Danio rerio: one gene and its partners. The protein of the gene in region 1 binds, or shares a complex with, the protein of each later gene. Links are inferred from orthologs where the notes say so. Each region holds a gene or a part of one and is shown on either strand. Other genes may lie near its edges.

What was found. The genes of interacting proteins can lie anywhere in the genome.
Region 2: the proteins of eif2s1a (region 1) and eif2b1 are in contact, whole or in part, in a cryo-EM structure (PDB 6K72), measured with the Homo sapiens proteins. The link is inferred for Danio rerio from reciprocal best matches to the Homo sapiens genes EIF2S1 and EIF2B1. Residues at the interface, in NP_004085.1 of Homo sapiens: Ala28, Glu29, Met30, Tyr33, Gly44, Met45, Leu47, Leu48, Arg75, Lys80, Tyr82, Ile83, Asp84, Arg88; in NP_001405.1 of Homo sapiens: Gly39, Thr41, Ile42, Gln43, Gly44, Leu45, Arg46, Ala47, Asn48, Glu70, Arg74, Ser77, Ser80, Leu81, Glu82, Tyr83, Ser84, Asp85, Tyr86, Cys89, Leu305.
Region 3: the proteins of eif2s1a (region 1) and eif2b4 are in contact, whole or in part, in a cryo-EM structure (PDB 6O81), measured with the Homo sapiens proteins. The link is inferred for Danio rerio from reciprocal best matches to the Homo sapiens genes EIF2S1 and EIF2B4. Residues at the interface, in NP_004085.1 of Homo sapiens: Met30, Tyr33, Met45, Arg55, Arg57, Arg75, Glu79, Lys80, Tyr82; in NP_001029288.1 of Homo sapiens: Asn245, Glu246, Glu247, Arg250, Thr285, Ser520, Ser521, Asp522.

What each region holds. Positions count from the first base shown.
Region 1 is NC_133192.1:35,958,647-35,965,786, reverse strand, and holds the end of eif2s1a (eukaryotic translation initiation factor 2 subunit 1a), read right to left. Parts: intron 5,221-7,140; coding exon 5,016-5,220; intron 3,468-5,015; coding exon 3,324-3,467; intron 3,045-3,323; coding exon 2,919-3,044; 3' UTR 2,509-2,918; downstream 1-2,508. UniProt on the Homo sapiens protein: Member of the eIF2 complex that functions in the early steps of protein synthesis by forming a ternary complex with GTP and initiator tRNA. This complex binds to a 40S ribosomal subunit, followed by mRNA binding to form a 43S pre-initiation complex (43S PIC).
Region 2 is NC_133180.1:75,664,508-75,672,372, reverse strand, and holds the start of eif2b1 (translation initiation factor eIF2B subunit alpha), read left to right. Parts: upstream 1-2,852; 5' UTR 2,853-3,139; coding exon 3,140-3,152; intron 3,153-4,069; coding exon 4,070-4,171; intron 4,172-7,865.
Region 3 is NC_133195.1:21,987,204-21,995,096, forward strand, and holds the start of eif2b4 (translation initiation factor eIF2B subunit delta), read right to left. Parts: upstream 5,014-7,893; 5' UTR 5,006-5,013; coding exon 4,957-5,005; intron 4,479-4,956; coding exon 4,441-4,478; intron 4,137-4,440; coding exon 3,956-4,136; intron 3,342-3,955; coding exon of another isoform or gene 3,339-3,341; coding exon 3,141-3,338; intron 1-3,140. UniProt on the Homo sapiens protein: Acts as a component of the translation initiation factor 2B (eIF2B) complex, which catalyzes the exchange of GDP for GTP on eukaryotic initiation factor 2 (eIF2) gamma subunit.

The DNA of each region.
Region 1 (7,140 bases):
GCTCTAAATCTTCTAATGAACAGTTTGATAAAAGTGGTGTCTTTTTGTATGTAACATTTTTGTATGCCACAGCGCAATGAACCCACAACTTATACAGGACGTTTTACGCAGCGATGCCTTACCAGCCGCAACCCATCTTTGGGAAACATCCATTCACACTCATTCACTACGGACAATTTTAGCCAACCCAATTCACCTGTACCGTATGTCTTTGGACTGTGGGGAAAACTGAAGCACCAAGAGGAAACAAGAGCAAAACTTCAGAAAGTGGAGAACATGCACCATTAGCTTTAGTCAACTTCTAATGTGCTTATTGCAGATGGTATAATAGTTGACATTGAACTAGGATCAAAAAGGATGTAGAACATGGACTACCTAACTAACTACATAACTAATTAACTAACAGAACATCCTAAAGTATAAATAAGTGAGCAATTCCATACAAATGTCAACCTTGCAATGAAAAAAGATAAGTTTTCGCCAAAATATTAAAACCGTTTCTGCATTTTGTGCGTAAGCAAGTATTTTACAGTTCTTTAAAAATATTCAAAAAAGTCTATAGAGAGCCAACACTTATTCTTTTGATTAGCATGGTTTCTTTTAGGTTGTGCAGTTTAAGTCACAGATTTGTAGTACACTGTAAACTCGCACTTTTTTGGTCACATTTATATTGCATGTATATTTCCCTCATTTAAAATATAAAAAAAAATGTTTACTTTACGGATTGAAAGTAAGGATTGATTATCTTACTAAAATGTTACTAAGCTGTAATAGGTTTTGTCACTTAACAAGCTGCATTTTCGTACTGTTAAGATTTTAAATAGACAATGCCAATATGTGCAACTACATATAAGCCATTCAAATTAAGGAGGATTAAATTGTGGTCATTACTACATTGGTATTATTCCTGTAATATGATTATTCATGAGATGATACAACACATTATATAACGTTGTTTACGAGGCACATTAATCGCATTATAAGCATACGTTACCACACAAAGCAGCTCAAGAATATAACTAGAACACACTCATAATGAATAACATCAAATGAAATGCATTTAGTGAAGTGATTGGATGCAAAAGTTACAAATGTAACGTTACAGCTATTATTTATAATACTTATGATTAATTTGTCACAAATCTTCTACAATATACAAAATCAAAGTTAGAAATCCTGAGTCAGAAACCTACAGCACGATTAACGTTAGTAGTTTTGATTCAGGTGCATCTGTGTTTCTGGAAAAAAATAGCTGACACTGGCTGACCTGATGCAAATGTATGGGACTCTCTTCAAGTTGCTCTTGCTTCAGACGACACAGACTGAAAAACATTTTTCTCCTCTGAAAGCTGCAAGATAAATAAAATAGCTCTTAAATACGGTTTAAGTGAATGTTTGTAACCATTAAATGGGCCTGCTTACATCCTGACGTGTGATACAACAGCGCCATCTCCTGGTGGGAGCAAGTATAATAAAAGTTGTTTGAAACGAAGTAGACCCTTAAATAGCAAGAAATAGCTTTCTCTGATCTCGGATCTATATCTGAAGTATTAATAATTAAAAATGTATTATATACATTTACATTTGATCCCCCAATAACAGTTCATACCATTGTGAATGCATAAATGCGCCAATCAATGCTAGGAAAAATATGATTCAACCCGAAACTGGCAGTTCCAGAGCACTGATAGACATCTTAAATATTCACAAAACACGTTTCTTGTAAAACAGGTCTTTATATCTGCATGTAGCGAAAAAAAGACAGTTTGTATAGTTTGACCAATAACCTCTAAAAGTCACTAAATATCCCTTAAAACATTGATTTAAACACATTCATAAATCTGATTCACTGAAGCAAGTATGACCAAACTACACTGTAAAACCCAAAAAGTTAAGGTAACTCAATCCATTTGAGGAAGCTGAGTGCAACAAACCATAAAAGTTCAAAAACTATTCCTAATGAGTACTGTGAACTTAATCCATTTGAGTAAACGAAGATATTTGAGCACAGCAAAACAATATAAATGAAGAGAACTTAAACCAACAGTACTGTAAAACCCAACAAGTTAAATCAACTCAAACCTTTGAGTTAAAAAACTAATCTTTATGAGTACTGTTAACTTACTCAATTTAAGTTGAAGTAATGAGGTATCTAATTAACTCATTACCTTCAACACAGTTCAAACTCTTTTCAAAATAAATTTCAAAGTTTGAGTTAACTACACTCATTTAATTTCAGAAAGTTGACTGTTGGGTTTTACAATATACTACCAAAAATAGTTGGAGCCCCCCAGACATTTATTCTTATTTCTTAATAATAATAATGATAATAATAATAATAATAAAATTACACATTTTTAAAAATTTGTTACAAATTGTAACAAAAGAAACAATATCTGCCAATATACCACTTTCCTGTTTAGAAAAATACATCCAAGTGAGAGAAGTTATCATCTTGAATAATCTTTGATGTAATCAGCAGCACAGAACAAGAGACATGACAAAATGTACATGAAAACTGCTTGTTTTTATTAGCTCTGTGGAACAGATTTTTGATAAGTAAACTGGCTGGCTGTCTATAAAGATTTCAGTTTTGCTTGTTTTTTTTTTGTTTGTTTTTTTTTACCACAAATCTCATCTTGAATAAAGCTGGAAACGAAGGTCACTTAAATCAACTACAATACTATCTGTACTAACATTCCTAAAGTAAAACTAGTGTTCATGGAAGAAATTCCTCTCACGATTCTCATCCGATAAGCAAAAGTACATCAATGTAGTCCACATCTCTCACTCACAATCTGCTTAGTATCACAGAAGCAGTGTTTTTTTTCAGTCTTCATGATGTGATAACCCCTTCACTATAACTCTGAAGTCTCTGGAATGATTATAGCACTGCTGGTTTGTCGTCTTTCTTCAGACTAGTCCTCAGTCTTGGCCTCCATTTCCTCTGCATCATCATCTCCATCCACCTCAGCATTTTCTCTCTCCAGCCGCTCCAACTGTCGTGCCAGCTCCGTCTCATCCGTGTCCGTCACAACTTTTGGCTTCAGGGGCATTAAAACAAGTCAAATAATCAGAGAGGGATTTATTTATTTTGCATAGCTCTTCACTTTGTTGTTTTAAATGTGGCCAATATCAGATTTCCACTGTGAACTGCCCAGCATGTGCAAAGCTAAGCAATTCCAGCGTTATGGATTAGACATTTTAAAAAATAGACTTAAAACATACATACACATGGTTTACTGCATTCTTTAAAAAAAATCATAAAAGTTTGGATAAATTGAGGGTAAGTAAACAGTGAATTTTAAATGCTAAATTCTGACCTCCATCTGAATGTTGAAGACGCCTCTCTTCTCTTCGATCTTCTCTTTAATGACGGCCATGGCTTGATTGAGCACAGAAAGGCCCTCTGTGCGCTCCAGTGTGGTCGTGGTCATAACATATCGAGGAGGAGCAATCAAGTTGATCTGCAATAAAAACATTATTAATTTTCCTCCTGATTTATCAATGGTCCGCAATTGTACTGACACGCGGCTGTGGTGAAGAACTACACAGTGATTGTACTGTCTTTAGTACAAACATGCACCGTTTTATAAATGTTTAAATCCTGTAAAATTCTTTCTTGAGGTGCTGCTGAACACAGAGCTGAACAGATCTTTTAACTGCAGTTGCTTTGCGCACATCTTGTCTTGTGGATATGATTATACACGTTACTAGTAAGGAGACATGTTAAAACGCGGATGTCAATCAATTCGGTGGGCGGGAAAACAGCACTCCTACATTACGGTCGGCCTCAAAATGTGAGGGATTTGGATCCTATATATAACGTCAGAAAATTAAAACAAAAGAATTATTGTGTCTCTATCACTCCAATATGACTGTGGACACACTATTCCTACAAATGGTTCTGTCCAAACAGCTTACAAATAATGATTGTGATCATAGGTGCCCTGTAAAAACAGATTTAGTCCACAACTAAATACTGCAATGTTTACTGAGATACACAAATTGATCCTTTTCTTAAACTTTCTTCATTGACAAAATAAAACATCTTGGGTTCAAAACAAAAATTGCACAATACTGATATTATATTAATGTGCTACTCAGGAAAATTGATATAGAAAGAATTTTGCTTCTGTGTAATTACTACATCGTAATTTAATAACTTGATTTATCTTGTCATTATGACCACATTTTTAAAGACTATTTGCTATGTATGTTTTCTTATCATGCAGTATATATAATAATATAAAATACCACACTACAAAACAAATTACATTCTTTATTCCTCCATGATTCTTCCAGTATTATCAGTGTAACACCTTATCAAAACAAAACAAATAAATAAAGTGTTCAAATATTTAAACATGAATGTAATACAGTTGAAGTCAGAATTATTAGCCCCCCTTTGATTTTTTTTCTTTCTTTTTTTATATTTCCCAAATGATGTTTAACAGAGCAAAGACATTTTCACAGTATGTCTGATAATATTTTTTCTTCAGGAGAAAGTCTTATTTGTTTTATTTCGGCTAGAATAAAAGCAATTAAGAAAAAAAAAAAAAAACGAGGTCAAAATTATTAGACCCTTTAAGCTATAATTTTTTCGATAGTCTAAACAAAAAAACCATCGGTATACAATAACTTACCAAATTACCTTAACCTGCCTAGTTAACCTACTTAGCCTAGTTAAGCCTTTAAATGTCACTTTAAGCTGTATAGAAGTGTCTTGAAATATATCAAGCCAAATAGTATTTACTGTCATCATGGCAAAGATAAAGTAAACCAGTTATTAGAAAGGAGTTATTAAAACTATTATGTTTAGAAATGTGTTGGAAAAAATCTTCCCTCCGTTAAACAGAAATTGGGGAAAAATAAACAAGGTGTCAAATAATTCAGACTTTAACTGCATGTATGAATGGTCCATATACAGAGACTCAATATGGGACATCAAATTTCAGGGATGTTATATATGAATGAACTGACATATCTGAAATAATTTGTGGTCTAGTTTTTACCTTGATGGGCATGCACTCTGTTGAACATGTTAGTCCTGCTCTCAAAGCCTCCTTCACTGCATCGATGCCCTCATACCCATAGCAGGCCACCTCAATGTCTGCTCGGATTTTGACAGCCTGTGGAGTGAGGCGTCTGTTGATGTTATCAATCAGGACTGCTCGTTCCTCCTCTGTCAATTCCAGACAATCTAATATAGCTGGATCCCTACAAAAAAAAAAAAAAAAAAAAACACAAAGAGGTGGTTGACACAAAAACATATCTACATTTACTCAACCTCTATTGTAATTGCTTGTTAGTTTTTTCACAATGACATTTTAAAAAAAATGTTGAAAATCCTTAGCCACTGACATCAATAGTAGGAAAAGAAAACCATGAAAGCCAAAGACTACCAGTTTATAACATTCTACAAAATTAGGGCCAGGCGATATGACCTAAAATTAAAACATCCATTAAATAAACATTTTACCTCAATTTTGATTACTGAACGATTGCTTTATTTTAAATGTAATTATTTATCCATATATCCTTGTCAAAAATGGAAAATAACAAGCATCTTGTTAAAGGCAAAATTACATTTTAAATGTTCTTGTGAAAAGTGGAAAAAGTATTATAATAACTTTTTCTTATTACAATAATAATTTCCATCACCTGTAAACAAATGCTAATTACATTTTATGGTTCATATTCTTATTGCATCTTTTTATTGTTGTGCTGTTTCTGCTATGGTTGGTATTTTGCCTTGTAGAACTTTAAGTCTAAGAAAAGCAAATTAAAAATAAAATGTATTATTAAGCAGAAGGAAAGTGAGCGAGTGATACTTGACATGTTATAGGTAATTTAAAAAAACAATAAATAAAATAAAAACATAAAAATAATTGCATTGTCTGCATTTACTCAAACTGATTCGCTGTAAAAATGAAAAGTAAAATGCGGATGGTATTAGGGCTGCTCGATTATGGGAAAATTCATAATCATGATTATTTTGGACATAATTGAAATCACGATTATTCAAAACGATATACAATTGAAGTCAAAATTATTCGCCCATCAATTTTTTTCCCCCAAGTGATGTTTAACAGAGCAATGAATTTTTCGCAGTAATTCCTATAATATTTTTTTTTCTAGAAAAAGTATTTTGTTTTATTTTGGCCAGAATAAAAGCTGGTTTAAATATTTTAAAGCCTATTTCAGATTTTCTGCAGAAGAAACTATTGTTATACAATGACTTGCCTAATTAACCCAGTTAAGACCTTTGAACTGCACTTTGAGCTGTATGCTTGTATCTTGAAAAATATTTAGTAAAATATTATTTGCCATCACCATAGCAAAGATAAAAGAAATCAGTTATTAGAAATGAGTTATTAAATCTATCTTTCCGCTAAACAGAAATTAGGAGAAAAATATAAAGGGCTGCTAAGAATTCCTACTTTAACTGTATATATACAGTTAATTTTCTCCCTGTAAATAAGTAAAGGGAAATAAATACAATAGAGTAAAAATATTAAACAAATTGCGTCTCAAGCATCGTTCTTTACTGTAAGAAAAAAACTTTTTTATTAGAAAAAAATTATAACTAAAAATTCCTTCAGTCAAGAGCAGTGAGTGATTTTCTCCTTTTGTTGTTTGATTAATATTAAAAACAGTCGGCAGCAGGAATATTGCATGCTGTCACTTTAAGAGCAGTGCGGTTCTGATTTATGGTTTTACTTTCACATGTCTAAATTCACATGATTCTCAACTCGTTTATTACACAAATGAGGATTAATATGAATAATCACAAAACACCTCGTTTTGACACGAATTTGCATGTATTTGACCATTAAAGCACTCACATTAAGATGACTAGATGTTTGTGCTCTACTCGTTTCTGAGGCTGGGCGCATACACACAACAGTATGTGATCCCTTTTGTGGTTTTAGAAACATGAATGATTAGAATGTACACCAATGAATGATGCGCATCCCGTGCTGCAAAAGTTACATTACAATACATGCTTTTAGTCATTTTCACGTGAAACTGAGCTTAGCAGAGCAACAAATGAGTACAACTGGAAAGGGGGCGGTATATGATGCAATAATCGTTTCATCTCGAATGATGTTTTTCCACAATCGTTAGAAGCCAAAA
Region 2 (7,865 bases), on another chromosome or scaffold:
CAGAATATTATTCATGTTACTTATGTATCAACATCCTCCTCACCCCAACACTAAAACTACCTGAAAAGTATTCATTACTGTTGTACAACAGTACACTCACCGGCCACTTTATTAGGTACATCTTACTAGTACCAGGTTGGACCCCTTTTGCCCTCAGAACTGCCTTAATCCTTCATGGTATAGATTCAACACGCTACTGGAAATATTCCTCAGAGATTTTGCTCCATATTGACATGATAGCATCACGCAGTTGCTGCAGATTTGTCGGCTGCACATCCATGATGCCAATCTCCTGCTCCACCACATCCCAAAGGTGCTCTATTGGATTGAGCTCTGGTGACTGTGGAGGCCATTTGAGTACAGTGAACTCATTGTCATGTTCATGAAACCAGTCTGAGATGATTCACGCTTTATGACATGGTGCCTTAACCTGCTGGAAGTAGCCATCAGAAGATGGAGACACTGTGATCATAAAGGGATGGACATGGTAGGCTACAATACTCAGGTAGGCTGTGGTGTTGACACCATGCTCAATTGGTACTAATGGACCCAAAGTGTTCTAAGAAAATCTCTCCCACACCATTACACCGCCACCACAAGCCTGAACCATTGATACAGGGCAGGATGGATTCATGATTTCATGTTGTTGACTCTAAATTCTGACCCGAACATCTGAATGTGTCAGCAGAAATGGAGACTCATCAGAGCAGGCAATGGTTCTCCAATCTTCTATTGTCCAGTTTTGGTGAGTCTGTGTGAATTGTAGCCTCAGTTTCCTGCTCTTAGCTGACAGGAGCGGCACCCGGTGTGGTCTTCTGCTGCTGTAGCCCATCCGCCTCAAGGTTGGACGTGTAGTGTGTTCAGAGATGCTCTTCTGCAGACCTCGGGTGATTATTTGAGTTACTGTTGCCTTTCTATCAGCTGGAACCAGTTTGGCCATTCTCCTCTGGCATCAAAAAGGCATTTGTGCCAACAGAACTGCCGCTCACTGCATATTTTCTCTTGTTCAGACCATTCTCTGTGAACCCTAGAGATGGTTGTGCGTGAAAATCCCAGTAGATCAGCAGTTTCTGAAACACTCAGACCAGCCTGTCTGGCACCAACAATCATGCCACATTCAAAGTCACTTAAATCCCCTTTCTGATGCTCGCTTTGAACTGCAGCAGATCGTCCTGAGCATGTCTTGAAGCCTAAATGCATTGAGTTGCTGCCCTGTGATTGGCTGATAAGAAATTTGCGTTAATGAGTAGCTGGACAGGTGTACCTAATAAAGTGGCCGGTGAGTGTATAATGACGGGAGTAAACGCAGCTGTATCTCTTATAGACTTTACCTAAAATAAATTTAAATATTAATGAATTAATATTAAACTGACCTTTGGCTCCCGCTGCGCCTGCTGACCCCACCACACAGGATTCACATCCAGCACTATGACCAGAATATTAATATCATCGTCTGCAAAACATCAGCAAGCGCTATTATTATTATCATCATCATCTTTTGTATGTTTATTGTTGAAGCATCTTCATCTTCTTCCTACACAAAGAGAAACCCGAGAGATCGAAAAACCGTTAAACGTTTCATTAATGGTGTTTGTGTGATTTACAAACCCGAAGCCATTGCTGCAATTCCGGCGTCTCTAAATTGATATAAAACTGTATTTCTTTGCTGTTTTCTTCAATATGTTGAAAGTTGTGCTGTTTGGACTCATGCTTAAATCTTCTTCTGTTTATTTAATGGAGAGATTGAACTCAGTGTAGCGCCACCTGCTGTACTGGTGCAGGAAAAAAAATATCATTTTTTAATTTTCCTTCTTTATTTTATTTCGTTTTATTTTATTTTTGTTTTATTTTTATATTTTTTTTACTGTATTTTATTTATTTTTTATTTTATTTTTGTTTTATTTATTTTTGTTTTCTTATTTTTATTTTTATTTATTTTATTTACAATCCTTCGGCCTTCTAATCACAATATTTAGTTTAGTTTAGATTTATTTTCTTTGATTTTATTTTTTTAATTTTTTTATTTTTGTTTTATTTTATTTATCTCATTTCAATTCATTTTTTTATTTTAACTAATCTTATCTTATCCTATCTTATTTTACTATTATTTTTTATTTTTCATTTTTTTTACTTTACTTTATTTTATTTTATTTAACTTTTTTATCTTATTTTATTATTTTATTTTATTTCCTTTTACTTTTTATCTTATTTTATTGTTTTATTTTATTTAATTTTACATTATTTTAATTTAATTTTATTTAATTTTATTTAATTTTATTTAATTTTATTTTATTTTATCACTCTTTTTTTATATTATTATTAATATTATTATTTTATTTTATTATTATTTTGTTTTATTTTACTCACTATCCTCCGGCATTCCATATGCAATATTATATTTTATATTTATTTATCTTGCAGAGACAACTAAACTTTTTTTTTCAGGCACCGAAATTAAACTCTACAAGCTCACAGTTTGTATATGTCTATACTTATAACATTTAATTTTATTATTTTACTTTGAAAAAATATATATATATCATTAGCAGTATATTATTATGCATTCCGTATTGTGTTCTATTAAGTTACGTTAATTAATGTATTTCCTACTCATTAAAGTACTAAATTTATTCCTTATACACACAACAATTATTAATATAAATTAATTTTAGTTCTTTTTTGTACTAATTTATTTATATGCCGTAATAATATTTTTAAAAATATTCGATTCGATTGATAATTATTTTAATTGTGTTATTATACAGTTTGAATAACCCTGTAGTAGAGAATTAAACAAATGATCCTGCTGTTTTTCTGCTGTCCAGCAGCGGCGCTACATGAAGCGACTGTTCACTCGACATAAAACAACGAAGAAGAAGAAAGTGAGCATGTCCACTTGTTCACTGTAAATAGCCTTTCATTTGAAATACACTAGAAGAATAGATGTTATTCAGTTTCTGAAAGGGATCGTATGAAATAAATGGGTAAAGCAAGCATTACTTTGTAGACAAACTTTAAACAATTCGTCGTACTGGATGTCAGAGAGCGTCATGACAGATCGTTGCATCAGCGACACTATCATTATTAGCTCGTGAAACTCAAAACTTGACAGATCTCTGAGAGAGAAAGTGCTTTTAAAATGGAGGAAAGAGGTGAGTTTGACAACAACACAAGACAGAACACACTTAATAATTATTCAGAGATGATTCTGAGTTATTTGCGTAGCTGCTTTGCTTTCCTGAGCATCTTATATTACATTTTGAATTATATTATGATCAATTATGTTGATATGTTGGTTGGTAACGCAAGGCATTTGTGCTTGTTTTCGACCTGTTTGATTGACACACATAATATCAATAATAATTGAGAACATTTCGTGATTCCACGTGTATATATGTATAGCTAATGCATTATGGGAACATCTAAAGACTTTGTTGATCAGGAGATTAATAATATTTCATTTATTTAATTATTTAAAGGTGCAAGAGTCATGATGTTTACACAGATGATTATAGCTGCTCATAGTGTGTGTTATAAAAGCTGTTCTTTATTAATTTTAGGGTTTGACTTTTTTGTTCACTCGCTATTTAATGTCTGAGTAATTGTTAAATGTTGTTAAATGTTTCAATGTTGTTAAATTGTTGGTAATTGTAGTTATTTGTGGTCAAAATTATGAATAGCTTTACTATACTATACTGTAAGTCTAACATTTTACCAAAAGGTTCAGTTTATTATTAATTAATTCATCGGCTAGTACTAAAGACTATAAACATAATTATAAACATAATTATCTAAAATATATTTTACACTTTATATGAGTTTAGTTTTATACTGTATTGTTATCCAGCAGAAGTTTAAATACAATTTCAGTTAGGTAATTTGAAGTTAAGTACTTTTCTTACCCAACACAGCTTACTTTCACCAAACAATTCAACAGCGAAGGTACAGAATTACAAAGACAAAAATGCAAAACGTTTACATTTATACCCTGATATTTTCAGATTGGGAATTAAAACAATTCAACAGTGGAAGTCAGTAATTTATTTGAATATGTATTTCTCTCTTCCAGAACTGGTGGAGTATTTCCGTGGGCAGATCAGGGAAGATCCAGATGTGGCTTCAGCGGTGGCTGCGATTCGATCACTGCTTGAGTTCCTGAAGAGGGATCAGAGTGAGTTTGTGCTGTTTGATTTTCGGCTTGGGATGTGGATGTGAACTGATGCTTGAAATAGATGTGAACCGATGCTTGATGTGGATGTCAACTGATGTGAATTGATGCTTTATTTGGATATGAACTAATGTGAACCGATACTTGATATGGATGTGAACTAATGTGAACTGGTTCTTGTTGTGGATGTCAACTGATGTGAAGCGATGGTTGATGTGGATGTGAACTAATGTGAACTGATACTTAATTTGAATGTGAACTGGTTCTTGATGTGGAAGTCAACTGATGTGAACCGATGGTTGATGTGGATGTGAACTAATGAGAATTGATACTTGATATAGAAGTGAACTCATGAGGGTGTGAACCGATACCTGATATAGATATGAACCCATGCTTGATGTGGATGTGAACTAATGTGAACTGAAACTGGATAATATAGATGTGGATCAATGTGGGTGTGAACCGATGCTTGATTTAGATGTGAACAAATGTGAACTAATACTTGACATAGATGTGATTGTAAACCGATGCTTGATGTGCATGTGAACCGACTCCTGATGTGGGTGTGAACTGATGCTTGATGTGGATATAAACTAATGTGAAGATATAATTGATATAGATGTGAACAGATTCTTGATGTGAATGTGAAATGATGTGAACTAGTTTGAACCTATGCTTGATTTGGATGTGAACTAGTGTGAACCGATGCTTGATGTGGATGGGAACTAATGTGAATCGATACTTTATGTAGATGGGAACTGATGCTTGATAAGGTTGTGAAATTATGTGAACTAATGTGAACCGTTTCTTGATTTAAATGTGAACTAGTGCGAACTGATGCTTGATGTAGATGGGAACTAATGTGAACCGATGCTTGATTTGGATGTGAACTAGTGTGAACCGATGCTTGATTTGGATGTGAACTAGTGTGAACCGATGCTTGATGTGGATGGGAACTAATGTGAATCGATGCTTGATTTGGATGTGAACTAATGTGAACTGATGCTTGATGTAGATGGGAACTAATGTGAACCGATGCTTGATTTGGATGTGAACTAGTGTGAACCGATGCTTGATGTGGATGGGAACTAATGTGAATCGATGCTTGATTTGGATGTGAACTAGTGTGAACCCATGCTTGATGTGGATGTGAACTAATGTGAACTGAAACTGGATAATATAGATGTGGATCAATGTGGGTGTGAGCCTATGCTTGATGTGAACTACTGTGAACTGATGCTTGATTTAGATGTGAACTAATGTGAACTAATACTTGACATAGATGTGATTGTAAACCGATGCTTGATGTGCATGTGAACCGACTCCTGATGTGGGTGTGAACTGATGCTTGATGTGGATATAAACTAATGTGAAGATATAATTGATATAGATGTGAACAGATTCTTGATGTGAATGTGAAATGATGTGAACTAGTGTGAACCGATGCTTGATGTGGATGGGAACTAATGTGAATCGATACTTTATGTAGATGGGAACTGATGCTTGATAAGGTTGTGAAATTATGTGAACTAATGTGAACCGTTTCTTGATTTAAATGTGAACTAGTGCGAACTGATGCTTGATGTAGATGGGAACTAATGTGAACCGATGCTTGATTTGGATGTGAACTAGTGTGAACCGATGCTTGATTTGGATGTGAACTAGTGTGAACCGATGCTTGATTTGGATGTGAACTAGTGTGAACCGATGCTTGATGTGGATGGGAACTAATGTGAATCGATGCTTGATTTGGATGTGAACTAATGTGAACTGATGCTTGATGTAGATGGGAACTAATGTGAACCGATGCTTGATTTGGATGTGAACTAGTGTGAACCGATGCTTGATGTGGATGGGAACTAATGTGAATCGATGCTTGATTTGGATGTGAACTAGTGTGAACCCATGCTTGATGTGGATGTGAACTAATGTGAACTGAAACTGGATAATATAGATGTGGATCAATGTGGGTGTGAGCCTATGCTTGATGTGAACTACTGTGAACTGATGCTTGATTTAGATGTGAACTAATGTGAACTAATACTTGACATAGATGTGATTGTAAACCGATGCTTGATGTGCATGTGAACCGACTCCTGATGTGGGTGTGAACTGATGCTTGATGTGGATATAAACTAATGTGAAGATATAATTGATATAGATGTGAACAGATTCTTGATGTGAATGTGAAATGATGTGAACTAGTGTGAACCGATGCTTGATGTGGATGGGAACTAATGTGAATCGATACTTTATGTAGATGGGAACTGATGCTTGATAAGGTTGTGAAATTATGTGAACTAATGTGAACCGTTTCTTGATTTAAATGTGAACTAGTGCGAACTGATGCTTGATGTAGATGGGAACTAATGTGAACCGATGCTTGATTTGGATGTGAACTAGTGTGAACCGATGCTTGATTTGGATGTGAACTAGTGTGAACCGATGCTTGATTTGGATGTGAACTAGTGTGAACCGATGCTTGATGTGGATGGGAACTAATGTGAATCGATGCTTGATTTGGATGTGAACTAATGTGAACTGATGCTTGATGTAGATGGGAACTAATGTGAACCGATGCTTGATTTGGATGTGAACTAGTGTGAACCGATGCTTGATGTGGATGGGAACTAATGTGAATCGATGCTTGATTTGGATGTGAACTAGTGTGAACCCATGCTTGATGTGGATGTGAACTAATGTGAACTGAAACTGGATAATATAGATGTGGATCAATGTGGGTGTGAGCCTATGCTTGATGTGAACTACTGTGAACTGATGCTTGATTTAGATGTGAACTAATGTGAACTAATACTTGACATAGATGTGATTGTAAACCGATGCTTGATGTGCATGTGAACCGACTCCTGATGTGGGTGTGAACTGATGCTTGATGTGGATATAAACTAATGTGAAGATATAATTGATATAGATGTGAACAGATTCTTGATGTGAATGTGAAATGATGTGAACTAGTGTGAACCGATGCTTGATGTGGATGGGAACTAATGTGAATCGATACTTTATGTAGATGGGAACTGATGCTTGATAAGGTTGTGAAATTATGTGAACTAATGTGAACCGTTTCTTGATTTAAATGTGAACTAGTGCGAACTGATGCTTGATGTAGATGGGAACTAATGTGAACCGATGCTTGATTTGGATGTGAACTAGTGTGAACCGATGCTTGATTTGGATGTGAACTAGTGTGAACCGATGCTTGATTTGGATGTGAACTAGTGTGAACCGATGCTTGATGTGGATGGGAACTAATGTGAATCGATACTTTATGTAGATGGGAACTGATGCTTGATAAGGTTGTGAAATTATGTGAACTAATGTGAACCGTTTCTTGATTTGAATGTGAACTAGTGTGAACTGATGCTTGATGTGGATGGGAACTAATGTGAACCGATGCTTGATTTGGATGTGAACTAGTGTGAACCGATGCTTGATGTGGATGGTAACTAATGTGAACCGATGCTTGATTTGGATGTGAACTAATTTGAACCGATGCTTGATTTGGATGTGAACTAATTTGAACCGAAACTTGATATGGATTTGAAACCATGTGAACCTATGCTTGATTTGGATGTGAATCGATTCTTGATGTTTACTGATGTGAACTAATGTGAACCGATACATGATATAGATATGAGAGGATGCTTGATGAGGATGTGAAACGATATGAACCGAT
Region 3 (7,893 bases), on another chromosome or scaffold:
TTTATGGGCTTATTATACCGCTTTTCATTCTAATCTGTACTTAACTGGAAAAAATAAATAGATTGAAATCCAAATCAAAGTATTAGTAGCAGAAGTGAACAAACAGATTTTCCCTAAATGCAAAAATTAATCCGACGCCAAAAATAAAAGCTGACACTAACCTGCTATAATGTCGTCACCAATGACTAAGGCCAGACAGAATCTGCAGACATTTTTTGTTTTTCTAATGAAAATTTTGTAAAAAAAAAAAAAATATATATATATATATATATATCTGCAGATTTATGCTGAATTATTTTAGGAGTATCGTAAATAAAAACTTTATATATGAAATTTAAAATAAAAGCATTTTAAGTTTTCTTTATTGTTTACAATGCAAATCCATCTAGATCCACTTATTTGGTAAACAAAGCAAGTCTCTTATATAATCTCTCTTCTAAAAGACTATTACTGTATTGTAAATTAATCAAATTATCACTTTTATTTTAGTCAATAATATTACTAAAATTAATTTAAAAATGGAATATATATAAATTTACACACATTTACAGGAGTAAATAAATAGACTCGATGATGGGCTAAAAATCTGCAGATTTTTGTGCGCACAGATTCCGTGTGGGCCTACCAATGGCTAAATCTCCAAAAGGTTTCTAAAAAATTGTAGCTCTGACATGGACAGCTGCAGTTGAATTATATGCTCAGTTTGTGATCATATCCGTTTTGTTCTGTTGATATGTAATCTAAATAATCGTAGCTTGAAACAAAAGGAAATATGACTGGGTTGTGCTGCTTTTACGGCCTCTCACATAGCTTGATCCACGCTGGCCTTTCTCCCCTTGGGTTTTAGGTTTAGAAAAGCGAAAAAATTCCACCACCCCATCCAAACTTTCAGGAGCGCTGCATGTTACACAGCGGCTGCAGTTAATGTTTGATACTTACAGCAGTTCATCATAAATCTTTTTTACCGCATTTGACAGCAAGAATGAACATAGAAGCATTGTCTGATTGAAAAGCAGCAACTACACGTGTTGAAAAGAATCTAAAATGCCAAATAGGATGCATTTAAGCAGCATTTTCTAAAGTAATACTAACTGTTTTTAGCTTTTCGCTTGTACGGTGGATCAAAACACTTTTTTGGACATTACGTATTTGTACATATGTACATTACTTTTTATTAATGTTTTTTATTTTATTAATTTTTATTGCCGGTTACGGAGGTCACTTTGTCAGATTATGCAATTTTTTTCTTGATAAAATATTGACCTGTCGTGGGTAACAAATGTGCCAGACAACACGTTCCTTAACGATCAGTCATCCTGTGACATCTACGACAAGTGTTATTTCCCAAAGCAGTCACAAGGGTTGCTATAACAATATTTTTTTATCTCATTTTCAATTTTATTTTATTTTTTATTATTTCAATCTCAATAAACACTGATGCTTGCAGACAACTAATAAATACATTATGGCGCTCATTAGGATAGGATCAAACTTATAATTCCTTTTTAACAGGGGCGTAGCCACAGGTGTGTCGGTGCCTAAAAATAGATGGATATATATATATATATATATATATATATATATATATATATATATATATATATATATATATATAAAATCGGGGGGAAAAAAAGAATTGTAATAATTTGTTAATAAAATAGTGCTGCATTATTCTCAGTCAGTGGAAAATATGCCGAAAAATATGAAGATTGCCGAAGCTGCATGCATTTCTTTTCATCAAGTAGCCAATTCATTGCTGCGAAGCGCTACATTTTACAGAGGCTGCATGAGAGAAAGTGCATCTTGTTCATTTTGTTTATTTTACAAGTACGCAACTTTGGTGTTATTGTGTGTACACATATTTCCATGGTTATATAGACCAGGTTCTAGTATTGCATGAGTGGGGGCATTATTTTACCGTGGTAAAGTGGAGCATTTCTTGGCAAGTTAATGCTTTACTTTGTTTATTAATTAAATTTCATAGTTATAAAATAAATTGAAAGAATATTTTAACACTTTCAATAATTCAGGCCTTTTTTTTGCACCAAAAGTAAAACCGGAGGGAAACCGGAACACCCGGAGGAAACCCACGCGAAGGCAGGGAGAACATGCAAACTCCACACAGAAACGCCAACTGAGCCGAGAATCGAACCAGCAACCTTCTTGCTGTGAGGAGACAGCACTACCTATTGCGCCACTGCTTTGCCTCCTATGTAAACGTATAACCTAAAATTACTTTAAAAAATTAAAGCTGGCAGAGTGTGTGTCGCGGATAAAGTGTTTATTACATGAAAAGTGAGGTGTCTATTGCAGCATTCGTTTAGATATGCGCATGGTGCATTTAAAGCTTCAGAAAATGGCTCATTAAAAAAGGACAAGGACGTAAATGCTTTTTACAAGTCGCAATCAAAAATGACGATAATATGGTGTATTGGAGTGTATAAGCAGGCAATTCGTGAGAATGGGTTGATTCAGGTATAGTATAGCCTACCACTTCTAAATCCCCTCTGATGCGCATCATTCAGTAGTGTCCTGCAGTAGCCAAAATCATGACACCACATCCAGTCATATGTGAATAAGTGTCACAGTGATGATGCAGTGAATACCGTGGCGCTGGCTTGCATTGAATATATTCGATGATTGCACCTGCGCCCGACTTGTAATTTGAATCAGTAATTTGAATCAGTACATAATAACCAAAAAAAATACCTTAGAAATAAAAAGTTGCAGGTTTTACGATCAGACATTTCTAAAAACAAGTGAAACCCCGTAAACCTTTCAGTCCAAAGATCCAGTAAACGAATGCATTCAAATAAGTTCAAAACATTGCGGCTACAGAGAAAGAACGGCTACACAGGTAAAGATGCGCCACGCTGCTCCTCGCCACTGGCTCTCATTGAAAATGAATAACTTCGGGCTACTTTGACGCTCTCGCCACTTTCGGAGTACCTGTATGGTTATCAGTTATCGATATCGGCCCAAAAGTCCATATCCCTACTTATAACACCTAAATATTTGCTCGCACGAGATGTGTTTTCATTCTTTTTTTGCAACAAGCTCGATAAAATTGCAAAAACATCAATTACAATATTATAACGGTATGGTCAGGTTGAAGAGTAAGGTCCGCAAGTATAAATTACCTGGCTGGAGCTCATTGGGGGAGGCTTTAGGTTTGCTGGAGGTGGATTGTTGACCACCTTCCTTCTTGCCCTGTTTTGATGCTCGTTCTGAGTCTTGCCGTGCCCGTCGCTCTGCTCGCAGCTCTGCTTTGGTCTTTGCAGGCTTCTCTGCAGCCGCAGGAGTTTCAGATGCAGATGCAGTTACAGGTGCTGGAGCAGCTGCTGACATCAAAGGGTCCGACAGTTAAAACAGCACCCCAAAATAGACCATAGAGTAGATTAAAAGGCTATTAAAAAACTCCATTAAGCTAAGAAATAAAAATAGCAGCATCAAAACAGACATTGTATTTTCAAAAACATAAGTTGCCTTTTTTTAATTATCTGAAATGTGCCATGACTTTTATTCCAAAGAAGATGTTTCTTGTTTTTTTTTTTTTTTACTCAAAGTGTAGACTGCCTTTTACTTTTAGGACTATTAATCTTCTTTACTATTCTACTGGCAATGAGGGGAACTATAATATGTTTATAATGTTTGCAACAGCTTCATTTTATTAAGCTCTACTAGTATTATTTCAGTTTTTTGTATATAGACTTATACAATCAGGGTCAGGGTCAACATTTTCTTTGCGAGGGGGGGGGACTCTATTTGCATAAATGTTTTTAACTCCATTCTTCCCTGTAAATATTAAACTAGTCTTAATAAGACAGAAAAACACATAAATAAATTTCCTTTAATTATACCAAGTTATTTCAAATTTCAATCGATATTAAATTAACTTTAATAAAAATTGCATTGTATGAAAATTGAGAACACTTTTGTTTTCACACTGAGGTACCTTTATGTGCCGGGCTCTGGGTGACAGGCTTTGATGGAGGTGGAGCAGATGCTTTCTCTTTTTCCTTCTCCTTTTCCTTCTCTGGAGGACCCTTGTTGTCATCTTTTTTATTCTTTTTATGCTGCTTCTTCTCTTTCCTAAGACGCTGCTTTTCTTCTTTGGTCAACTCCTTACCTTCACTCTATAAGTAAAAAAAAAAAGTGTCACAGTTTCAATTTATTATTAAATTCAGAAATCCTGTAAACAAATGTGGCATGTCTTAAAAATCAAATCTGCACTTTGGGCATTAAAAAAACATTTTATTTCTAGTAAAGCCTAAAATGTTGTCCAGGACAGCATCTCTTTAGGACATTTGGACAATTAATTTTTTTAAATATTAAGTACTTTTTAAGAAACAATCAATGGATTTGAAAAATAACATACAAATAAAATATGGTATAAAATATAGTGAATTTATAATAATATTAATAATAAAAAAGACCTACCTTTGCTTTTACAATATCTTGCAACTTCCCTTCTTCACCTATGACACAAACAAACAGATATTTAAAAGGTATATCAAGGTTAAATTTGCTAGATTATAGTCATTTACAGAGAAAAGGCGGTTTAAGTTTGAAGTAATGAGGTCTACGAGAACAGAAAACCCCTCGACACTGAATTTGCAGTGTTATTTCATCATGCTGGCACACGATCTTTACCAAACTAAAAACGTTGCATAAAGATTCTCTTTGTCTTGAAAAAATATCGCGTTACACACAATTTGGAATAATGTGATCAATTTATGCAGTTAGAGGTCAGCATAAATACATTCCAAATGGCAAAACAGCATGATGTAATTTCCACTGTATGGATGTGTCAAGTCAGCTGTGTCATGGCAGAGGCGATCAAGCGACCGAACGAGCCGTAACACAAGCTCTCTGTTGGTGACTGTAAACGACTGCTTGTGTACATGTTCACGTCGGTCTCAGCACACGTAGAAAGTTGGCAATATTATGTTTTACCTGTAGCATGGTTGATGCTGTCAACCTGTCTCCCATCCGAGTCCGCCATGTTTCATTTCTTCGTGACTTCTCCTGCTGGTAAACCGATGTGAAACGCAACGGAGAAGAATTACACTGCCATCTAGCGATAGAAACGAGTAAGATGACTTTCTTTCGTTTTACATGTAACGCCAGACGTTTTCACATTTACAGTTTTTCTCAGTCGCTTTGGTGCATTTCTTACAACACTATCCTGCTGAAAAAAACAGCCTGGAAATGGCCAAAAACACCTCTAAAACCAGGCTGGTCAACCAGCTAAAACCAGCCAACCAGCTTATGCTGGTTTAAGCTGTTTTTTTCAGCAGGGTATTTACATTTGCACAACAGTTAATGTATTTATCAAAACAGTTACTCATTTGTGCACATCCTAGTAGCATTTTCTCAATCCTTCCAACAAATTGCAAATACTTTTGGACATGCATCAATTGCTTTTATACAACTCTCTGCTGTTTATATCATTATCATTTGCTTATGTCATGTCAGTCAAAATGAATTAAATTTGTAAATGCTGAATAGTCATTCCATATAAAACTAATAGTCCTCATTTCATTACTTGAGTCATTACATACAAAAACGTTGAACTATTTGTCAAAATCTGTCAAGCAAATTTTATAAAAATATTTATTTTCCTGAAAATGTCTAAAAAATTAAACAGTTTCATGAATGATTTACTGACCTGTGTATGTTGTAGGTTCAGTTCCAATATGTACTGCAGTATTGTTTACAGTTGTGCACAGCTCTACCCAAAGTGAGTTTGTTTGTTGTAACGGTGTGTTTATTCCTTTGCACAATGCTGTGAATAAATTAGAATTGTAAAGAGCAAATGCAGTTAAAATGTGAAACATACATATTCAGTGTCTTGTACTCAGATACCTCACTAAATGCAGTGATGTTTAACTTTACTGGTGTTTTCAAATGGCCAAGCAAATAGTGTATATATAGTGCTGTCTTGAAAACTTTAATGCAGCTAGTACTTATGTTTTTTAAATACTAAACTTTTCCATTAAGTACCTATACATTTTATAACCCACTATTGCTTATGCTTTAGCTACTATTGGTGCACATTCTAGCACTTATTTATTAGAAGCTAATTAGATAGATAAAAAATGAGGATTCTTATTGGTTTGTAATCCCATCTTATTTGTTTAAAAAACAAGAAGGTAAAATTTTTTTTTTTTTTATGTGACATTGAATTATCTAAAATTCCACTGAAACTTTCCAATTTTCATAAGCAGGTTTTGTTGTATTGGAAAATGCTATACAAACATAACTTCAGACAGTCTTAATAATGTGTCATTATGGAACAATCACTGTATGTTACAGTTTTTCTCAGTCGCTTTGGTGCATTTCTCACAACACTATTTACATTAGCACATCAGGTCATGCATTTCTCAAAACAATTAGTCATTTGTGCACATAGTAGCAGTTTCTCATTCCTTTCAACAAACTGCAAATGCTTTTGGACATGCATCAATTGCTTTCATACAACTCTCTGCTGTTTATAACATTATCATTTGCTAATGTCATGTCAGTCCAAATTAACTAAACTTGTAAATGCTGAATAGTCATTGCAAATAAAACTAACAGTCTTCATTTTATTACTTGAGTCATTACATACAAAAATGTTGAACTAGTTGTCAAAATCTTGCAAGCTAATTTTATCAAAAAAAAAATTATTTTACTGAAAATGTCTTCTAAATTGAACAATTTCATGAATGATTTACTGACCTGTGTATGTATGTTGGTTCAGTTCCAATATGTTCTGCAATATTGTTTACGGTTGTGCACAGTTCAACACAAAGAAAGTTTATGTTTGTTGTAAAAAAGGGTGCGTCTATTCTTCTGCACAATGCTGTGAATAAATTCAAATTGTAAAGAGCAAATGTAGAACAAATGTGAAACATACATATTCAGTGTCTTGTACTAGATACACTCACTAAATGCAGTGATGTCTAACTTTACTGTAGTTTTCAATTGGCTGTGCTAATAGTATACAGTGCTGTCTTGAGCATTTTCACAAAGTTTTACCAAAATCTGACTTTTTTGCATTGAAAAAATGTCCAGAGTAAACTAACATAATGAAAACATGACAAAGCCATTTGACTATCTTGTTCATAAACAATGGTGTCAGGACTTTTCATTTTGGTGATACTGACTCTTTGATTGACATCAATACTTGCTTTTGAGGAATGAACATTTTGAGCATGTGACACACTTTTGCAGGTTATCAGCTAGGTTTTGCAGTTTGTACTAATTGTTTTGAGAAATGCATTCACTGTTGTGCAGAAATGCACAGGTGTTGTGAGAAACGCACCAAAGCGACTGAGAAAAACTGTAACTAAACTTGTGAATGCTGAAAAGTCATTTCATATAAAACTAATAGTCCTCATTTCATTACTTGAGTCATTACATACAAAAATGTTGAACTAGTTATCAAAATCTATCTAGCAAATTTTATTAAAAAAAAATGTATCTTTATTTTCCTGAAAATGTCTTTAAAATTGAACAATTTCATGAATGATTTACTGACCTGTGTTTGTTGTAGGTCCAGTTCCAATATGTTCTGCAATATTGTTTACAGTTGTGCCCTGTTTTACCCAAAGGAAGCTTGTGCTTGTTGTACATAAGGGTGTGTTTATTCTTTTGCACAATGCTGTGAATAAATTAGAATTGCAACGAGCATGTGCAGTAAAAATGTGAAACATACATATTCAGTGTCTTGTAATCGGATACCTCACTAAAAGCTGTTGTCAAACTTTGCTGTAGTTTTCAAATGGCTGTGCAAATAGTATTAAGTTCTGTCTTGAGCATTTTCAGGAAGTGTCACCAAAATCTGACTTTTTTGCATTGAAAAAATGTCCAGAGTAAACTGACATAATGAAAACATGACAAAGCCAT